2 linked regions of the Lepisosteus oculatus genome follow. The protein of the gene in region 1 binds, or shares a complex with, the protein of each later gene. Links are inferred from orthologs where the notes say so. Each region holds a gene or a part of one and is shown in the gene's direction. Other genes may lie near its edges.

Region 1 (10,762 bases):
TGTCATCTCTACAAAATATTACAAGAGTTCTCAAAAAGGGTGATTGTCCTTTATGAATCAGAGCAAGTGGATGTGGGAGCTGGATCTGCAGAATGAAAGATTCAAAGATTCCCTCCAAGCCCTACCCCTTGCTGTTGTCCAGGCCCTTCCCCTGTCCCGGCTCTGAAACCGCGGTCATCCAGTCCTCTGCAGGAGCTCAAAGGAACAGGGTTTTCCTTCTTAGTTTCTGTACAGGGCCCACTCGGCAACATCGTGCTTCATCCTCCCTCTGGAGTTCACAAGGATCCTCTGCTTATTGCAGACAGAAATCTTGCAGCCTAGATAATCCTACAATGCCAATGCACACAGGCATGCGTGTTATTATACCTACAGTACGCAGTACAAACACTGGTCAGGGCTATGGTGTTTTTAAGATCAGAGGTCACTAGAAATCATGCAGCTTTTAAATACTAAATAATTAGTTCTAACTTTTTCACAGTGGTCACAGGAAGGAGAACAATATAAAGTAACACCTGCTTTTGCTTTTGCAAAGTAAGCAGCCATAAAGTAAGCAATCAAAGCAGGCAGTGGTTGTGTGGCTGCTCACTTTAAACATTTACAAAGCAGACACAGAAGACTCTCCTCCTTCCTAACATTGTACATTTTTCAAACCTAATTATGAATGTATCCCATAAAATGGTGTATACGGTACACTCATATTCATGCACATTGTGCTCTTGCTCTGTTTTCAGATACTTATAGATCCGATTTGTTTTGCAGTTTGGCACAGGCTGGGATGTGTTCCTGACGAAGGTGGATGGATCATACGTACGGATGACCGTGGATGAGCTGCTGCCCATGTCTTTTGGGCCTGATGACCTCAAGAAAAAGAAGGTTTTCTCCCTACAAAATGGACATGAAGTGTCGACGCAGTTCTACACTCATTCACCTTGTGAGGCTGGGGAAAATAATAATTAGCATTGTGCAGTGATGCCAGTAGGTGTTTGTGCTCCCAAGTATTTATAGGAATTGCTGCATGTTTTTGAGAATGTTCCTTCCAAATGAGGAACATGATGACTTGCATTTGCTCTGTAATTCTTTGGCGGAGCATGGAGTGCAGGCAATTACTGGAGTGAAGTAACACTGTTGTTCAGGTTATGGAGAATTTTAAGTTCGGGGTGTCAGCTACACACAGCACTTGGTACATGCTTATCAGTGAATCAGTCTTTGACATTTGATTGTCTTTTTGTTCGGACAGTACCCTCTCAAACTCCTTTACATGGTAATTTTGCCCTACACCATTAAGGAATGCACAATACAAATTGGAAGATAATAAAAAAAAGTAATTATGCTACGTAAGGACCCTAGAGCTGGTTTTTAATATGCAGCTGCAGGACACAAAAAGGCAATCAGAATTTGTAGTATTTAGAAAATGTTATAAATCTAGTTGAGGTCAGTAACAGGTAAGCCAATTTTTCTCTAAAAGTTACAAAATGTGATGAATAGAGCACTTAAAAGTTCCGGTGGTGGGAACAAATGTCACAATGACCATTTCAACAGCAGTGAGTTAACTGAACCGGAGAAAGAACAGATGTGTTTTCAGCGAGTTGTCAGAGGAAACTCAAGCAGCTGATGACTCAGTTGACTACTACAGAGGAACAGCACAAAATTATCTGTAAAGTAATATATCATGACATGACATACAAACCCTCAATTTACGTAACAGTTTGGTTCAGGAAACCATTTTGTAATTCAAATTTTACTCTTGAGCCATGTGCACATTTACTGTTCAATACGTTTGATGGCAGTAGGTTCCTGTCCTGCCTTGTGCACTGCTTACCTCACAGGAATACATTTTGTAATATAACGAGTATGTAGTGTTATGCAATAAAATGTATTTTGTATATTGCAAATTGTATGCAAAGTTTGATTTGCTCAAGTCGAGCTCATGACCTGAGTGACACAGTTTTAGTTATATGGCAGTGTTACAAACATATCTGGACCTATAGTGACATCCTTTTGAAAGGAGGTGAGATATATTTCAAACATTTTGATTTTTGATGTATTAACTAATAATACTGTGGCAGACCACCATTAGTCAAGGTGGCTCCAGGTGCTGAGCAAACTTGTGATGGAAGTAAGCACTGAAGAGTAAATCCTTCTTACACATGAGTAACCCACCCTTTCTGCTTCTCTAAACCCAACCACCACCAACACTGGTGAACCTATTGAGAGAGCCTAGTGAGAGACTCTTTGGCGGCCTCTGGTGGCAGACTAGTTGTCAATACAGTCCCTTCAACGACCTGCCTTCCACGAATACTGTACAGTGCCGTTCACACATATTTGAGCTTGAACTAGTTCACATATATGTCGATACATGACGGAGACATTTAAATACAAGTAAACACAGCGCACCTTCTAAAATGTGCGGAAAAAGATTTTCAATCGGAATTCAATATATCATCTCAGGCCCCTTACTTTATATTGCTATGCTGTGGGTATGTAAATACAGTTAAAGGGCCTGTGTCATCATTCTTTTCTTTTGCATGGTATGTATATATATTCATATGAGCTTAACATGCAGAAGTTACATAGTTATATTGTCACAGTCAGGTGCCTCAGCCAGTCGCGGCTGGCATCATCCAAATCGATAAAGTTGCCGGGGCATCTGAAGCGAGGGCAGGAGTATAGGATGTGGTCGGCCGTCTGCTCCTCGCCATCGCCGCATTCGCAAGTTGGGTCATCAGTGAGACCCCACTTGTGTAGGGTGGCCCGGAAACGGCCATGTCCGGTTCTTAGTTGGTTCAGCTTGACCCAGGCTTGTTCTGGGTAGGTCATTTCCAGCAGGTTTGTTGGATATTTTGTCAATAAGTTGTTTCAGTCTGTGGTTGTTATTATTCCACACGTCTTGCCACTTTTTGTTAGCCCAGTTAGTGCCATTGCTTTCAAATCGAACTTACCATGCAATGCATGGTATGTAAAGACTCCGTACGATGTGCAATAGGAAACAGAAAACTCAGAATGGATTGTCATATTCTTTACCTGGCACTAGTTTACCACATTTCCTGCAGGAAAAGATGACATAGTGATCAACATTACATTCTCGAATCACACCCCAAAACCGCCCCTAGGCTGTCCACAGTTTTTTCAATTCAACTACAGTATAACCCCAAACCATTCTAAACTTTCTCTACTATTGTAACGCCATTGCAAGTTGTTGTTTTTTTGCGGTTTAATTTTTTATTAAACGTATAGAATTTACAGATACAAATACAACAAGAGGTTCAGAATCATGTACAAGAGAAAAAAGAAACTCAGCAGAAAAAAAGCATTGAACTACCAGAGGTAATTACGTTATGATGTGATCAAATTGTATATTTTACATATATCATGTTTTGCCATTGCAAGTTGTGCGAGTCGGCTTAGCAGCGCGGTGACGTCACCGCCCTTTCCCTGTGGATAGCAGGGACCTTAGCCGTCGGGCTGACGGGAGATTTCCCTTTAGCTTAACTGGCTAGGTCCCGGTTGAGCGACACCGGAGGCCTGGGTTCGAGTGCCCGATGGTGGGTGGGCCGAGCTGAGGCGGCAGCGGCGAGGGCGCTACGCTCTTTCCGAGTACACTGCTATAGCGGAAAGGCCTCGAATATTTACCAATTTTCTACAATTGATTTGGATTTACCAGCTCATACTGTATCTAAAACACCCACCCCAGCTCCATGGCGCCGCTTCTTGCGGTTCAGGGTCGCGGGGGAGATAGAGCCTGTCCCGACAGGACACACACACACGCCGATTAACCTACAAGCATGTGTGTGGACTGTGGGAAGAACCGGCAGCTCCCGAAGGAAACTCCCACGAACGCGGGGAGAAAATACAAGCTCCGCGCTGCGAGACAGCGATGATAACCAGCGCCCGTTTATAGAACATAAATACACGAAGAAGCTCTTTCATTTTGATTACTAGAGCAAATCTCATGCCGCCTTCGTTTCGAAGTGGTCATCAAACAGTTAAAGATTGATATTTCAGCTGCTTGTTTTCAGTTGTGCTCCTGCCTGGCAGCATTGTGTATTGCGTTGCAGCTGGTGACCTGTCTAATCTTCCAGCAAAAATAATTCGCTCGACATCAGTACAGGAGATTTCGATATATGAGAGAGCTTCTGCAGTTACGCGTTTGGAAATGTAAGAAATGCAGATTTCCCTTTAATCAGCTCATTCACTTTTAAGAGACACATCTAAATAACTTGCATTAGGCCAAATAATTAATAGTAGGTATTGTAGCGTTCTCAGGTTCACCGCACAGTATATTCTTTTGAAAGTTGTGTAAATATACTTTTCAAGCATAAAATACTTTTTAAAAATTTTGTAGCAATTGTGCATAAAATACCAGCTTTAAACGTGAAATATTTACATTTAAAACTGTAAAAATGTTTCATTAAAAAGATTTTATGCGGAGACTACTGTTGTTTCTGATCTCATGTAGTTGGTTATTAATCGTCTTTTGAGCTTGTGCACTGCGGGACTCGTCACAGCGATTAGCCGGTGGCCGATTCTCACAGGTGGGCAATTCTTTCCAGCCGGTGTTATTGGCGCAATTAATGCTGCGTGACCTCTAACCGTGACCGGATACCAACAAGCTTTAACTCGTAAAATGACCATTTCAAACGTAGTCTTGAGAGGAACGTGCCAGCATTGTGCCATTATTAACATTTCTTGCCAGATTCAAATCTGTCCGCTTCCTTGGTTTTGTGAACACGAATTCTGTGCTATCCATCAGATGATCTGTCGCTTGCATTGGTGCACAGCACACATGTCCCTAAATAAACCCTTTAACACTGGCTCTCGTCAGCGGATAATTCATCGACTCATATGGTTATGTAGCTTCACAACAACATAACATTAGTAGGCATTTATTTTTATATAAATAGGCATTTCTGTGCTGACTGCGTATCAACAGCACTTAAGGGCTAGAATGACGTATAATTTAAATTGTGCACACCCGCTTACACAATGTGTGGATAGATGACAAATGTACAGTACATTCTTTGTAAATACAATTTACGACGACTGCATACAAGGAAGATGATTTGGAAGACCATCGGCGGCGTAACTAACAGGCGCTTCACACCTGCTGGCCTAGGTGGCGCTAGGAGGAGCGATTAGGATGCGAGCCCGTTACTGCATCTGTCTTGGGCCGCTTCCGCTCATTGGTTGGGCAGAATCCGGGCTTCAGTGCTGCAGCTCTTCGGCATTTGTGCACGTTGTGCAGATTTTTATCAGGTTTTATAGAACATAAAATAATACAAATAACGGAGAAACAGTATCCACAACGGAAAAGCGAACAAAAGGGACTAAGAACAGTATCTTGCCAGAAATAATAACAAATCTGTATACATCAAGTTTTATTAATTGTGATTTTTGCTTTGTTATTTGTCATGCTTGTAATGGAGTTTAAGTAGTATTGCATTTACACCTTATATACACTAAATGAGGGAGTAGCACTGGACAGTTCTGTTTTAATTAATAATAATTGCTTACACTTATGTAGTGCTTTTCTGGATACTCCACTCAAATATTTTTACAGGTAATGGGGATCCCCTCCACCCCCACCAGTGTGCAGCCCCACCTGGATGATGCGACGGCAGCCATAGTGCACCAGTTCGCTCACCATACACCAGCTCTCAGTGGGGAGGAGAACAGAGTGATGAAGCCAGTTCAGAGATGGGGATTATTAGGAGTCCATAATTGGTAAGGGCCAATGGGAAATTTGGCCAGGACGAGTACACCCCTACTCTTTTCGAGAAACGCCCTGGGATTTTTAATGACCACAGAGAGTCAGGACCTATACTGAGGGCATTAGAACCCACATAGACCTCAGGGTAAGCACCCCCTGCTGGCCCCACTAACACCTCAGCTTTCCCAGGAGGTCTCCCATCCAGGTACTGACCAGGCTTACACCTGCTGAGCTTCAGTGGGTTGCCAGTTGTGAGTTGCAGGATATGACTGCTGAGTTTTGTGGATGTGATATCCACTCATTATTAAAAGGTAGGTTAGGTCCCCTTTTCAGGCCATCAAGACCCATGGGGAAGGGGGGGTGGGCAAGAGCCATCATTTTTCTCAACCATCTGACACTGGAGGTGGAGGTGATGTCAGCATCACGCTCTGGCTGGCCTATTACCTCCAGTACTCATTTGGAAAGCAGGCGGAGTGGACCTGGAGTGGACCTGGGAGCTGAGTGGAATTATGAAAAAAGCTACATCACTTGCCCCCACCTGGGACTGAACCCAGGACCTCCCGGTCCGGAGCTAGACGACCCATTATTAATAAAAGATTCAATCCATTAATACAAATTCATTTTCCATTTTACGGGGAAAATATTGCAACATATAACATGAAACTGCTTAAGTATAACTTTCATACTGAAGATAAAATTAAAGGTATTTTTTCCAATTCTATCCAGAACACTATATATATATACGTAACAAATGTGTCAGCGTTTCTTTCCCAGCATCACAGAACACGCATAACTCTAACTCGTTATATGAATTGAAAAAATGTCCGTTTAATTGATAAACACTATAAACAATTTTGAATGCGAACCTTGTTCTCAGACCGCTTTTGCAGGATATACTATACACAGAGGAGGCATTAAGTAGGGGGCTGCGCGACCTGATAACGTTTTTCCGGTTGAGTTTCTCGCACATCCGGTCTGTGACGACTTCCGCATGTCTGCTGGCATGTTTACATCACGTGACCCCCTTGTTTATCACGGTTGTGCTGGGACGTTTGGAGGAGGTGTGAGGGAGAAAGGTGGTCACACGTTTTAGGCAAGAAGGGGGCTTTAACAGCCGACCATGTCGGTGAAGCTCGTCATTGCTCGTGGGCTGGAGCTGGGCCGGTCGGTGTTTCAGCAGGGTCTCCTGAAACCGGCTGCCCGGGTCGCTGCGAAGTTCAGAAGCGGCCGTGTCCGTCTGGGCCCGCCGGTCCGTACCGTCCAGCCTCAGACTTTCCTGCCTGCTCGTTACCGCTATTTCCGAGTGTCGCTGAGCGGCCTTGCTGCCCAGCTGCAGCGCCGGAGACTCGGCCGGCTTCCAGGAGGCGCCGGATCCCCCAGGACCAGAGCGGTGTTTCTGGCTTTCGGGCTGGGCCTCGGGCTCATCGAGCAGCAGCTGGAGGAGGACAGAAGGGACACGGCGACATGCCGAGAAATTCAGGTACAGCCCGGGTTGGAGAAACAAGTTTATATGGGCTGTGTAAGATGACAAAAGCTTGTGCAAAGCCAAGTTTAAGCTGCACCGCGTTAAGTACTAAGCATTATTGTCAAATAGGGACTCGTATTCTAATATGGTGACGGCCAAGAACCTCCAGGAAGCTTTTAAGACACGAGATTTTAAAGCTGCCCTTAAACCGAAACCCACATTTAAGATGGACCGTCGTTGCTTTGCTAGGTCTGCTGTTTAATCTTCACGTCGCTGATCGGTTGACAGGTGACAGGTGCCGCAGGTGTCAAGTTGCACTACACTGGTTTGACTGGGAGGGCCACTCGATATTTACTCAGTAGACGCATTTATGCAAATTAGCTTGTATCCAGAAGAACTAAAATCTGGAAAGAACTAACAGCTGGAAAAAATATTGTGAGGAATGGTACTAAAAGGCTGCAGGAACAACTACAAGTGCTAGTGAGGACCTAGGTGATACAGGTATCTCACCCAGACCCTGGCTTTAAAGAGGCCAGCATGTTGGCTTAACAGCATGGTGTGTGGTTTGTTACATGCTCCCACCATTCTTTAGGTACAGAAGTGCCTCCTGTTCTCAGTTTTAATTGGGTTCTCCAGTTTGGATTTCATTGTCTGTAAATCACTTGTTTTGTGCTGAATAATAATAAAAAATAATTCCTTACACTTGTATAGTGTTTTTTCTGGACACTCCACTCAAAGCTCTTTACAGGTAATGGGGACTCCCCTACACCACCACCACCACCAGTGTGGTGGATGATGTGACAGCAGCCAGGGTGTGCCAGTACACCCCCCCACACACACCAGCTCTCAGAGTGGAGGAGAACAGAGTGATGAAGCCAGTTCAGAGATGGGGATTATTAGGAGGTCATGATTGGTAAAGGCCCTGGGATTTTTAATGACCACAGAGAGTCAGGACCTCGGTTTAACGTCTCATCCGAAGGACGGCGCCTTTTTACAGTATAGTGTCCCCGTCACTATACCGGGGTAATAGGATCCACACAAACTGCAGGTTGAGCTCCCCCTGCTGGCCCCACTAACACGTCTTCCAGCAGCAACTGTAGTTTTTCCTAGGAGGTCTCCCATCCAGGTACTGACCAGGCTCACACCTGCTGAGCTTCAGTGGGTTTGCCAGGTGTGAGTTGCAGGGTGAAATGGCTGCTGGCATGAATCTGCGGCTCGGGTTCCACCGAGATTTGAATTTGTATCACTGGATTCAGAGTCCAGAGTGCTTATCATTCCACCACAGAACTGTTGACTACATAATGTGCTACTGTACGTAGAGCGGCTCTTCATGTAGTGAGCAAGCATATATATACCTTATAGTTGGCAGGATGAGTGTATGCCATTCCAATGTACAGTATAGCAATATATAGCAATGGTATATTTTAATTTCTTTAATTCTTAATGCAAACTTTAATATCTGGTTCAGTGCTATGTGCTGTAAGTTCTGGTTATATAGTCACCTATTTTTGTTGAAATTTTACAAGCTTCACTTGATGTTACCTATAGAATTGAATTAAGAATTTCAGAGGTGTTAGTCAAGATGACAATTTCCCCAGCACAAGTCCGCCTTGAGTGTGAAAAACTAATGGAGTGGTGATTTTTGTGATTTTATATACGCAGTGAACAGATTCTATGTATTTTAAAAGGAATGGTAGTTAAGGTTTATTAATAGTGAACTATGTATTTTTTTTTTAATTCCCAAGGCCTTGTTTGCCCAGAAGAAGACGGCGCTGCAAAGCCCACTCAAGTCCTTCTCCTCGGGCTACAGGCTGGAAGACTACGTGTTTGGGAGGCAGGTTGGGAAGGGCTGCAATGCTGCTGTGTATGAGGCTACAACTCCTTTCGCTGTTCCGAGACGGGCTGGGCAGTGCTCCCTGGTGGTGCCGGATCCATCCGGAGAAGTGAGGCAGGAAGACTCACTGTCTCTCCAGTGCCGTGCCACAGCTGAGTACCCCCTGGCAGTGAAGATGATGTGGAATATCGGGGTAGGTGGAATAAAAACATAGCTATATAGACATCATGTCACGCCCTCTGCAGCCAGAGGGCGCTCCTAGTTTGTCCTGTCTGTTGTTTCCGGTGCTTTGCTGTCTCTCTCTCTCTCTCTGGGGCTATATATTTCTGGGTCTTTCATTTGCCTTTGCTCAGCATTGACATTCGGATGTCCTCAGACCCACCTAGCACCAGGTCGCCCCACGCTGCTAACTGAGGGCATAGGTCTCTCTTCAGCCAAAACGCATTTCCTGAACAGCTGAGCCCGGGCTAACCCCCATCTCGCCGCTATGCACAGGGTCTGTTTCGCTCTCCTGTCATTCCACGGTTTGTCCTTTCCGACATCCGTGACACATCAGGTTGTGTATCAAGTTGTGCAGAAACCGGTAAAAGCCGTGAAAATGAAGTTGCACATTTTGAATGTGCCTACTGAGAGTCCCACCTGTGGTGTAAACATTTGCTTTGGTAAACAACAAATAGCAAGTTTCTAAGTAACGTAGTCCTATACACCTCCACGTGTTTGTCATGTTCGAATCTTTGCTTCTCATCGTTCACATTTTGGGGCAGCACTGTGGCGCAGTGGTCAGCATTGCTGCCTCGTGGCGCAGGGGCTCTGGGTTCGGTTCCGAATCTGGGGCTTCTGTCTGTGTGGAGTTTTTTATGTTTTCCCCATGTTGGCATGGGTTTTCAAGGGGTTCTCTGGTTTCCACCCACAGTCAAAAGACATGCTGACAGGTTAATTGGCTTCTGGAAAAATTAGTCCTGGTGTGTGTGTTTCTGTCTGTGTGCCCTGCCTTGCGCCTGTTGCTTACTGGGATAGGCTCCAACTTGCCCACCACCCCTTTCTGGATAAAGTGGTTAGAAGATGAGGGGATGTTCACGTTTTGACAATTTTCAAACATAGCAATTGAATCAATCTGGCATATAGTAGACAATGAGACTAATCTCTGATCTCATAAAGAAAACCTTTCCTCCGAACCCTGGTCTAATTGGAACTGGCATTTCTCTAGTCCAGCCACTTCCAGTGGCAGACTGTACATATAAGGAAAGACCGAAACTGCTTTAGTGAACTGAATGTAACTGGATGTCTTAAATATATTTACACTGGGCACATACCTTACATGCATTTAAACAAACTCATCACAACTGTTTAAAATGAGAAATAAATCAATTGTAAGCACTGTTTTAACAACATGGTGATCTGTAATGCTGTATATTGATTTTTATTTCCCTGGTTGTATTTTCAGATCTATTTTCCAGTGTGTTTTTAGAGTAGAAGTTTATTGTTAAACACATTAAATATTATTCAGCCAAAACGTGTTTTGTGATTAAATACATTAGTAGTGAATCTGAATTTATTTGGTTGCACCAGCAGTGTGTAAGTTCATTCCTTTGTTAACCAGTGAAGCCTCAGTGCAATATATTGGGCTTCATTTAGGTACAGCTCTGGTTTTATTCAAAAGTTAATAAACAACCTGAAAATTAACACTGGGACTGTTTCTCTTGTCCAGTACAGTATATAGTACTGGCAGCTTGTAGTCCTCCTATCTACAAAAGCA
Region 2 (10,300 bases), on another chromosome or scaffold:
GGCTCTCTCCTCCCTTGTTAATCCGATTTAAATATCTGACTGCTCAAGTCCTTAATTTTATTTGCAGTTCAAAGATGTTACGGCCGTTACAATCAGGGAAAACTTACCAATTGGATCTGGATAATAAAAAAAACGAGCGACTCACCTCATGTGTGCGGAGCGCTGGATCTATCTATCTGCCCCTGTGCTGAAGGGAGACGGATTGCCTGTCTGTAGTAGCCGGGTGAGTGAGGAAGGGTTTGGATGCTGTCTAATGCACGGCTCTTAGCGGCTCTCCTCTCTCTCTAATCTCCTCGGGTCAGTCACTCATTGTTCTCTCTCTCCCTTTCAAAACGTGCCATAAATCCGAGCTGTGAGCAAGCGAGACCACCATAAGATTACAGCTCAGATTCATCCAAAAGGCACGACAACTCCTTTGCAATCGGTCGTAATAAACTTTGCAGCGAGCACCACAGTAATGGTTAGTTATAAATCTGCGATACTGACGCATCTCTCAGGAGACCTCTTTCGCGTATTGCTGACTGACTGGCAGATATGCCAAGGTTATCCTTGTATACTGCGCAGCAATGGCAACAGACGCTTCAACTGGGTTCAGCCAGGGAACGAAGAACAGACCGTGTTTTAAGTTGAAATATACCTTAGGATACGGCGTGTCATTTAGAAGCAAAGTAAGAGCGCGTTTTGGAGTTTTATACGAGCAAACAAACCTGGGTCAATTTGAGTTTCGGATAGACGATCATCTATGCCCTGGCTGTATTTCGTAGTTTTGCGTGGGGGCAGTTCGCCATCTCCTGGTCTCCCTGGACATCCACAATTTTCAACTAGTTCTATTCTGCCAAAGAAGCAACCGAATTGGGGGCAGTATAGTTTATTGGTATTAGAATGATTATTAGTTACACTCCCGTTATTAATACTACACTCTAAAATGTACGAATATCGTTATTCTTGCTATTGGTGTTGCTTGGGCTTGTTTTTAAAGCCTTTCGACCAGATAAATTACAGTTATATGCAAGGAAGAATCGGTTTGTATTTTTGTTACTGATGATGGCTCCAGTTGGGAAAGTAACGAAATCCAATTTTTACTCCTAATTTCTCAGCGGGGTTTGCTTACCCAGTTCCACAAAATACTTTTTTCTTACTTTGAATAAACCAGTTGTGAACGTCGTTACTACATCAGTACTATATATTTTTAAATGATTTCAAAATTAAATCAATTTAAATACTGTAACGTCTGGTATCACAAAGTATCTTCTTTCCAATTTTTAACTAATGCAATATTTTCATAGTTGAGAGGCAGAAAAGTGTGGTTACCTTTCAGAAAAAAACATTTTCCTCAGAGGAGAGTGGTAAAATATTTTTTACAAATGTTTACATATCAATTTTATGTACTAATATACGCATACGCTAAACTCGTTTACAGTTGTACTTGTTATTAAAATAGTATTTTCTAAAATGTACTCCCTGCCTACTAAACCAGTTTTCGAGATGATTACAAGAACTCGAATTGTTTCTCACGATAACGCTATAATTTAATCTTTCACGCTCAATGACCTGAAGGTATATGTTCACTTTATGGTTACGAATTTACCTGTTCCAAAACGCTTTGCAAGCGCCCATGTTCTTGACAAGCGTGTGTGCGTAATTGGACTAAGATATCAAAGCTACAGGTTATGACATTTTCATCCAACATGGCTAGCTACCCATGCTGGTAGACAGCTTGGGGCTTTTACAACGATATCTACAGAACTGTGCTTTTCAGGAGGGTTGAGACCTCCTAATAAGGTTGTGTTGTGCTGCATATAGCTCCACTTTTGGCCCCTGTACTACTGCTTCCCACTGAGTTTTGAATCACAGTCTTGTGTCTCCTCCTATTTTTTTACCCTTCCACAACCCCAGTACTGACTACCTCTGTCCTCTGCTGAAACAGTGCAGTCTTGTTCTGGATCTTCCTAAAGAGGACCTGATAGAGGAGGCTGTCCTTTCCTAAAAATAAACTGAACACTCTCCCTTCACATTTACATTGTTATAACATTGTGGGTACTGGACCTCAGTCTCTTTTGCATCATTAATGTTGTCTTATCATTCATGATATACGATGTGTTCATTTTTCTCTCCTTTTCAGTGTAAAAGCATTGTGAAAATGCTAGCATTTTCAAATGTTGTTCCATATAAACGAATTTGTAGTCTGCTGCAAATTACCACAAGTATGTGACGTTACATCAGTACACCAATACATGTTTGTACTGTATTTTTCTTCTGTGTTACTGTTCAGACTGTGCTTTTATTGTAGCACATTGTGTGAAATGCTCACCACCAAAAGGTGCTCTTTAAAATAAATTTAAACAATCTGTAATTGATTGAAACCTGAGCTCACAAAACTCCCGAGAAGCGGATCGCTGATGTCTTGTTTTCCTGTTCAGCCAACTCAAGGTCACCTGAACTTGAATCTCCCCAGAACGTGAGCTGAAGCAGAAATACAAGATGGTTAGATAATTGTTTTTCCATGATTTCCCGAGTTGCTTGCGTTTTTGCGTCAGTCTGGACAGGATTGAAGTCCTCCTATCTCTTTCTCCTGTTTTGGTTTTAAAGCTCATATTAACAAATAGTACCTTCTCTCAACCTTCATCGGCCCTTGCAGCTGAAACTAGCAATTATTTTGTTAAGGTGTGGATCACTACCCCGGATTTGCAATGTAAGGTTCAAGACTTTTGATTGAAAGGTCACCTGGCATATGTCCGATCTGGATTAGTTGAGAATCGGTCTGTGAAGCCAGAAGGGTCTGAAAATGTTTCTGTGCACATCCAAACATGTAGGTAACTTGAGTTTTGTAAAAACAAAACACAGCACCGCAGCATGGGGAACAGGAGTGCAAATCAGGCACATAGCCCACTTCTGGAGGTCATGGTATGCATTTCCCGCTGAGTCTGAAAACAGAAAAGAAGATTTCTTCCTTTCCAGCAGGCAAGACCCATCCCTGCTGGATTTCACTCTGGAGAGTCAGGAAGGGCACACAGTCCGAAAATTAAGGAGGAAACCAAAGGCCACTCTGGGATCCTTTGGAATGGAAAGCATTCTGTACAATTCAACACATTGTTGACAGCTGAGAGACAGTATCAAATGGTTTCCCTCTTTGTGAGAAATGCCCTGGGATTTTTAATGACCACGGGGACTCAGAAGCTCGGTTTTACGTCTCATCCAAAGAACAGTGACTTTTTTTTCAGCATATTGTCCCCATCACTATACTGCGCCATTAGGACCCACACAGATCGCTGTAATGAACAGTTCTTTCCGGACCCTATGCGGACGACACAGTCCGACGGAGTGGGGAAACACTAGGGAAACGTCATGCAGGAAAACGGGGCTGAAGACAAGGGGGCGTGTCCAAGGTGCGCTGGTGCACGGGGGAGGTGTGGCCGAGGCGAACAATCCAAAAGAGAAGTCCTTAGGGAATATCCAAAACACACGAGAAAGTCCAAAACCAGGAGATCCAGCAGAACAAAGAATTAAAAACACGAAGGCCGGGTCGGAACCGGCGGACGGGGAACAGAGGTTAAAACCTTAACGGGACCAGGCGCTTCCAGGTCCCGGACTCGCACGATATGGAAATCAGATGCAGAGCCCGGATGAGCGTCAGCGCCTGGCTTTTAAGGTGGGCTGGGAATAGGGAGCAGGTGCATAGAATAAAGTCTTGAGTGAAAGGGCTGGAGCACCCTTAAGGAGGGGGGGCTAATATCGTGACAATCGCAGGGTGAGCGCTCCCTACTGGTCCCGCTAACACCTCTTCCAGCAGCAACCCTAGCTTTCCCAGGAGGTCTCCCATCCAGGTACTGACCAGTTGGTACTGACCAACCTGGTTGCAGGTTGTTTACTGCAGGAGGATATAGCTGCTGGTATTCTAGCAAAGAGCACTTTACTCCCCTGTTTTGCAGTGGGACACACAGGAGAACTGTCAGAGCTTTTTAGCACCAAAGGTAACTCCATTTTTTGCACGGGCAAAGCAATCAACAATACCCTGCAATCCTCCCTTTCATCCTCGTATGGCCATCGGTTACTGGAACTGCAGCTTTAGGGTTTTACCGAACCCATCAGAAAAGGCGGGAACAAGCTCTTTTCCTTAATGTTTTACGTTACAGCTCATTTCCCTAGAGTGCTGATGAACTTAATTAGGGCCTTTCAGCAAAGCTCCTAATTGCCAGAGGAGTGTGTGTGTTGCCGCTAGCAGATAACAGTTAGCTTGGGATCAACAGAAACGTGTTTCTCAGCATCCACCAACCACACAGTCAGGACTGAGCGGAGGCAGAGGACAGTTACTGGGAGGTAATGGCTTTTCCAAGCTTGTGGTGTCATGTCCCCGAGTTTATTTTTTTTTCTTCTCTTATCTTTTTGCTCTTATGGACACCCCAGGGGTATCATGGTCCCACTATATCAGTTTCAGTGTGGACTGACAAAACCAGATCTGTCCGCCGACCTGGTGCCAATGTATTCCACTCCAGCAGGCACGGTGGAAGAGATCTCGTCGATCTGTTTGGCAAGGACAGGTCATATCAGGTGCGTTTCCAACACATTAAACACAATGGTTGTGTTTTTTTTTTTTCAGCTTTTTAATGCCTCTGACTGAAGCCAGTATACAAAGTGATCCTGTACAGTGGGGACTAGGCAGGATACTTCCTGGACAGGACACTACATCATCACACAGTACACATGTATACACTCACACATGGGTCAGTTTTCACAGAGGCTAATTGACCTAATAGTATATTTTTGCCCTGTTGGAGGAAACCCACGCAAACATGGGACAAACATACAAACTTCAAGTAGATCTGGATTTGACCCCAGTGCTCCAGCACTGTGGGGAACCACTGTTTTGTCCTATTAATAATATATTTGTAGAATTCCCTTTTAAATATTAAGTTCAAATTGTTTAGTTTAGTGCTATACTGGAAACGAAAAAGATATCAAAATTCTGGGGAAACTTTGTCTTCTGGGCAAACGTATAAAAAACACAGCCGAAACGTTTTGTTTGTTTTCTTCTCTTTTCTGCATAGAATAAACCTTTAGCTATTCCACATATAATGCATTACAGAAACCGACATGTGAAGTAGTTCCCCTCTAATACTGTTCAATTTTTTCAGGATGCTATTTGAGACTCCAAAAAGTGGATGAGTAAGCCAATCGGAATCCTACAATAAAAAATAAAAACTATAATTATGAACAGCATTGAATTCTAATAACACAATTAGTAACACAAACACTGTACATAAAGTTCCTCTACAGCGCTGATTCGCCCTCGTTTCGTTCCGTGCAGTTTGTCTTTCCTCGCACACCGTATCACGTGTTAACCTCGATGAGGTCAGAGAGAGGGCGAGGGTCAAACTAGCACGTTTGCCGGAAAGACAGGATTCGTGCGTTTGCTGTGGTCAAGTGTAGCCTGATTGCAAGCTCCGTAATGTTTAAAATTGAAGGCCTGGGTCCCAAAATGGACCCCGAGGAGATGAAGAAGAAAATGAGGGAAGACGTGATCACGTCAGTGAGGAATTTTCTGATCTACGTAGCGTTGCTCAGAGTCAGTGAGTATCATTGCTCCTCGTCGGGTTTCAAGGCATCGTGTCCTTGCCTTAGTTCTTGTCATTCACTTCTGGTCATCTTTAGAAGATATCCTGCAAATGATGGAGATATACGGGGGCGGAACTGCTGAATATTTTAACGAGAGCGAGTTTTGTGTTCAGTACGCCGCTTTCTTTAAAACAAAAACATTTTTTTCTCGTTTCAAGGTGAAAAGAATTGATACATATGGTAAAAATTCTAATTAATTTCCCAGAATAACTATGTTCTAGAGTAGTCGTATTATGTGTAGGGAAACAACTACAGAGCTACTAGCTCTCGCCTTCATTTTATTCCAGGTCCTGACAGTAGGGGGAAGTGTTTAAAAGCCCTTGGCGTGTCTTGTTAGGAAATCTCTGCATACACCTGGTCTATAACGCTATGATAACATTCCTGTTTAAAATATTATAGTGATTTTATTCAAAGCTTAATCTGTTACAGTCTTGTGCACCCAAATGAAGTGCAAAACTTTAAACATGATTGGTTTCAATTAAACCTTGTTTTAACAAATTTTAAATTGTCTTTGGCAATACTAGATTGTTCCAGCCTTTAGAGTGGCACATGGTGTTGAAGCTCATTTTTGTGTTTCGTATTAGAATGGTTAACTGTTTGACAGTGAACAGTGGTTGTAGTTTTTTGGCCAATATATCACCCTGCAGCTCACAATTGGCAGCCCACTGAAGCTCAGCAGGTGTGGGCCTGGCCAGTACTTCCTGGATGGGAGATTCCTGGAAAGGCTGAGGTTGCTGCTGGAAGAAGTGTTAGTGGGGCCAGTAGGGAGCGCTCACCCTGCGATCTGTGTGGGTCCTAATGCTGCAGTATAGTGATGGGGACAATATGCTGAAAACAAAGTCACTGTTCTTTGGAGGAGACGTAAAACCAAGCTCACCCTGTGGTTTGTGTGGGTCCTAATGCCCAATCGAAGTGTTGGGGACACTGTACTGTAAAAAAGGTGCTTTCCTTTGGATAAAATGTAAAATAGAGCTCCTGTCTTTCTGTGGTCATTAAAAATCCCAGGGTGTTTCTTGAAATGAGTAGGGGGTAACAACCCCAGTGTCCTGGCCAAATTTCCCCCTGGCCTTTACCAATCATGGCTTCCTGATGGTCCCCATCTGTGAACTGGCTTCATCACTCTGTTTTCCTCCCCACTGATAGCTGATGTGTGGTGAGTGTATGTTGGTGCACTATGACTGCCATCACATCATCAAGAGTAGTTTATTGGCATATGTGCATGTACATTGGATTTCTTAATCGCGCTGATCTGCCAGGACATACACAGTAGAACAGACAACACACCACGCAATGTTGGCAATAGGAACAATAAATATGTTGTGGAAAAATAAATAAATATGTACTAGTGAGACCAGAAACAAATGGTAGACTATGTAAAAACTGCGTAGTGCAGATGTGTATTAAGGTACTGCAGTTAGCTGTTGAGGATGCGCACTGCAGTGGGATAGAAGCTGTTCTAGAGTCTAGTGGTCCTTGCTTTAACAGTGCGGTACCGATTCCCTGAGGGCAGGGGAGAGAACAGCTTGTGGCTGGGATGGCTGTCTTTCTGAATGATGGATTGGGCTTTATTGCGACTTGCGAATCTCACCGATTGATAGTAAAGGTGGATGCTGCACATTGGTGGTGGTGGAGGGGTCCCCATTACCTTTAAAACGCTTTGAGTGGAGTCTCCAGCCAAGCACTATATAAGTGTAAGGAATTATCAATACACTGATAAGTAGCTCCAGCAGTTTCTGACAGTCGTTGTGGGCTGTGAGAAGACTGTTGAAGGGTGCCGGCAATCGATTACTCTCATGATGTGAGTTTCAGTTCTGAATTGCACACTGAGGAACTTTCCTCAGCTCTTTCCATGTTTTTCAAACGAGTGCTAGCCTTGACCCATCCCCCTCTGCCTTCCCAGCGCCCTACGTCCTGAAGAAACTGGATAGCATCTGAAGAGTCTCGCTCTCCCGCCTGCGGAGGTCTTTCCCTGCGGCAGCTCAAGACAACAGCGCGGAGCCTCTGCTGGACCGGGAACATGTCGGCAATGCTGCCAGAGATCACCAGGACTGCTCAGTCCTTGGCTTGGGCTACACATCTGGTTCTGCCCTCTATCGTCACCTCATTGTTTAAAGGCTGCGATACCCATCATGTGTATGAATGGATCTCAACACTGTGCAACTCTCACAACACTGCAGGACTTGTGTGCTGATTTTATGTATTCTTGTTAATACAGGTCAATTACCCAATGATGTGTAACCCTTTAAAAATATTTCCCCATCTCGCGTACGAGTGAAATATAACAGAACAGCATGAGTTTTTTTTTTAATTTGGGTTTTTTTTTTAAGGAGGGGTGAATCCAGCATCCTTTTCTTTGGGATAGCTTTTGTTTGTTTTAAAACCTCCTGCGCGGTGGCGTTATTTGACCGTAACGCCATTCCCATGAAGTGTAGTGTGAGTATTTGTGTCGGCCGATTCTGACGGCGAAGGGGACGTGATTCCAGCCCTCGCCTGATGCAGCAATTTTAAATTCCACTCACTGCACCACAAGTCAAAATAAAAATGGTTCTTACGATTGCTGCTGTTCATTTGTTGTAATTCTTTAGTTCAGAATCAACCTTTAATATTACAAATACACCCAAAATGTGAAAGTAACTATTAATACTCAGTTATTACATAATTTTTTACACACAGAATCTAAACCCTCTCAATACATGCGGAGGAGTTTAATATCAATGTATTTGTACTACTGAACTTTCTCTTTAATTGCAGTGATTCTCTGTGTAGAATCACTTCTGATTATTATTATTAGATGTTTTTCTACTTTAAGAAGACTGGAGTTGCTCTTAAGAGGAAGATTTTTTTTTTTCTTATAAAATATACTTTATTCCGGAAAAAAACACATCTCAAAAGGAAAACATCTCATACAATAACACTCCACAAGTTAAAACAACGGCGGAACGGCGGTGATTGTCCGTTTTCAATCCTTGCAAGGGTCTTAAGAGGAAGATAATCACTTTATTAGCCCTATACAATTTCTTGCAATTGGATTTCATCTTTTCGCATACCCCAGCTTGTTCTCCATTAGACACAGAGACAGGGAGAGAGAAGCTTGGGGTCAGAGCACAGGATCAGCCATTGTACAGCGCCCCTGGAGCAGTTGGGTTTAAGGGCCTTGCTCAAGGGCCCAACAGAGTAGGATTCCTCTGCCAGCCACAGGAACTGAACTGGTTACCTTCCAGCCACAGGCACAGATCCTTAGCCACAGAGCCACCACTCCGCCCCCTCGGTTTTTAACTTTTGGTAGAGTCATGGTTCCTCTTAGCTGATTAACTGTAGCTAATCCTAGGAACCACTACTTAATCTAATTACATTGCACTGGTGTTTCTACTGGAGGTGACTAAAGCCACCTGTATAAAACCCTCAGTATCCATTAGTTAGGTCTGTTATGATTGAACAGGGATTATGTGTTTTAATTAAAAATCACTGAGTAATTCCTGAGCATGTGTTCCTCAAGCAGAGGAATCAGTCTTGAAGTTCCAGATGGTTTCTGGTTTTTCTTTCCCCCTGAGCCCTAAATTACCTCATTTGAGCTCTTTATTGTCTTAAAATGATTTTCCTTGTTCATGAGAAGCTGGAGATTTAGAAAAAGGTGCTGAACAATGGCTCTTGAAATCCAGGTGTTAGTGGGGCCAGCAGGGGGCGTTCACCCTGTGGTCTGTGTGGGTCCTAATGCCCCATTATAGTGACGGGGACACTATACTGTAAAAAGGTGTTGCCTTCGGACATAAAACCTAGATCCTGACTCTCTGTGGTCATTAAAAATCCCAGGGTGTTTCTCGAAAAGAGTAGGGGTGTAACCCTGGCATCCTGGCCAAATTTCCCATTGGCCCTTACTAATCATGGCCTCTTAATAATCCCCATCTATGAATTGGCTTCATCACTCTGTCCTCCTCCCCACTGATAGCTGATGTGTAGTGAGTATACTGGTGCACTATGGCTGCCGTTGCATCATCCAGGTGGGGCTGCACATTGGTGGTGGTGGAGGGGATCCCCATTACCTGGAAAGCGCTTTGAGTGGAGTGTCCAGAAAAGTGCTATATAAAGTAAGCAATTATTATTATAAAGGGAAGTTATTACTCTCTAGCTGTTATGTGTGTCTGGATCAAACTACCTGTGGATGTGAACTCTGATGGAACCCCAAGGAATGGGTGAGATGAGATTTACTTGGTGCACACTGCCTTCAAGTCACGACTGATGTTTCCTAGAGTAGATCAGGGGATCGTCATGTTGTATCAACTGTAAGCCTACTCACATAAAAATATATATTTTTATTGATATAGCATACAATACAATTTTTGGCAACTCAAAGTGCTTGTTACAAAATATTAAGTTAAAACAAGCAACAATAACAAATGTGAGAACCATGTGCAAACAGTACAAATAGCCCTGAAATTATACAAGAAAAATCAAGTAAAAGCAAGAGTAAAAAAAATATGTTTTGAGCTGCCGTTTAAAAATATCCACAGAGCCAGCCTCTCTAATGTTTTTAGGAAATATTCAACTATTCCACAGTTTGGATGCGTAGTAGCAAAAGGCTGCCTCTCCAGTCATCCTATGCTTAATTTCTGGAATAATCTTTAAAAATCGTGCGCTTGTTGCACTGACCTTGATGGGATTTACAGTACGTACAGCTTCATCCATTACT

The links.
Region 2: the proteins of pink1 (region 1) and tomm5 are in contact, whole or in part, in a cryo-EM structure (PDB 9EII), measured with the Homo sapiens proteins. The link is inferred for Lepisosteus oculatus from reciprocal best matches to the Homo sapiens genes PINK1 and TOMM5. Residues at the interface, in NP_115785.1 of Homo sapiens: Gln484, Ala488, Gln491, Ser495, Lys496, Pro498, Val502, Lys520, Leu522, Lys523, Leu524, Met527, Glu565, Cys568, Gln569, Ala571, Leu572, Leu573, Cys575, Ser576, Trp577, Ala579, Ala580; in NP_001001790.1 of Homo sapiens: Met1, Phe2, Arg3, Ile4, Gly6, Leu7, Ala8, Lys10, Leu11, Asp12, Pro13, Glu14, Met16, Lys17, Arg18.

The regions. Positions count from the first base shown.
Region 1 is NC_090720.1:10,919,751-10,930,512, forward strand, and holds the start of pink1 (serine/threonine-protein kinase PINK1, mitochondrial), read left to right. Parts: upstream 1-6,706; 5' UTR 6,707-6,827; coding exon 6,828-7,187; intron 7,188-8,917; coding exon 8,918-9,199; intron 9,200-10,762. Other genes in the region: cdaa (cytidine deaminase a), read left to right, coding at 760-957. UniProt on the Homo sapiens protein: Serine/threonine-protein kinase which acts as a sensor of mitochondrial damage and protects against mitochondrial dysfunction during cellular stress.
Region 2 is NC_090696.1:67,262,849-67,273,148, reverse strand, and holds tomm5 (mitochondrial import receptor subunit TOM5 homolog), read left to right. Parts: upstream 1-5,358; 5' UTR 5,359-5,446; coding exon 5,447-5,567; intron 5,568-7,513; coding exon 7,514-7,548; 3' UTR 7,549-8,167; downstream 8,168-10,300.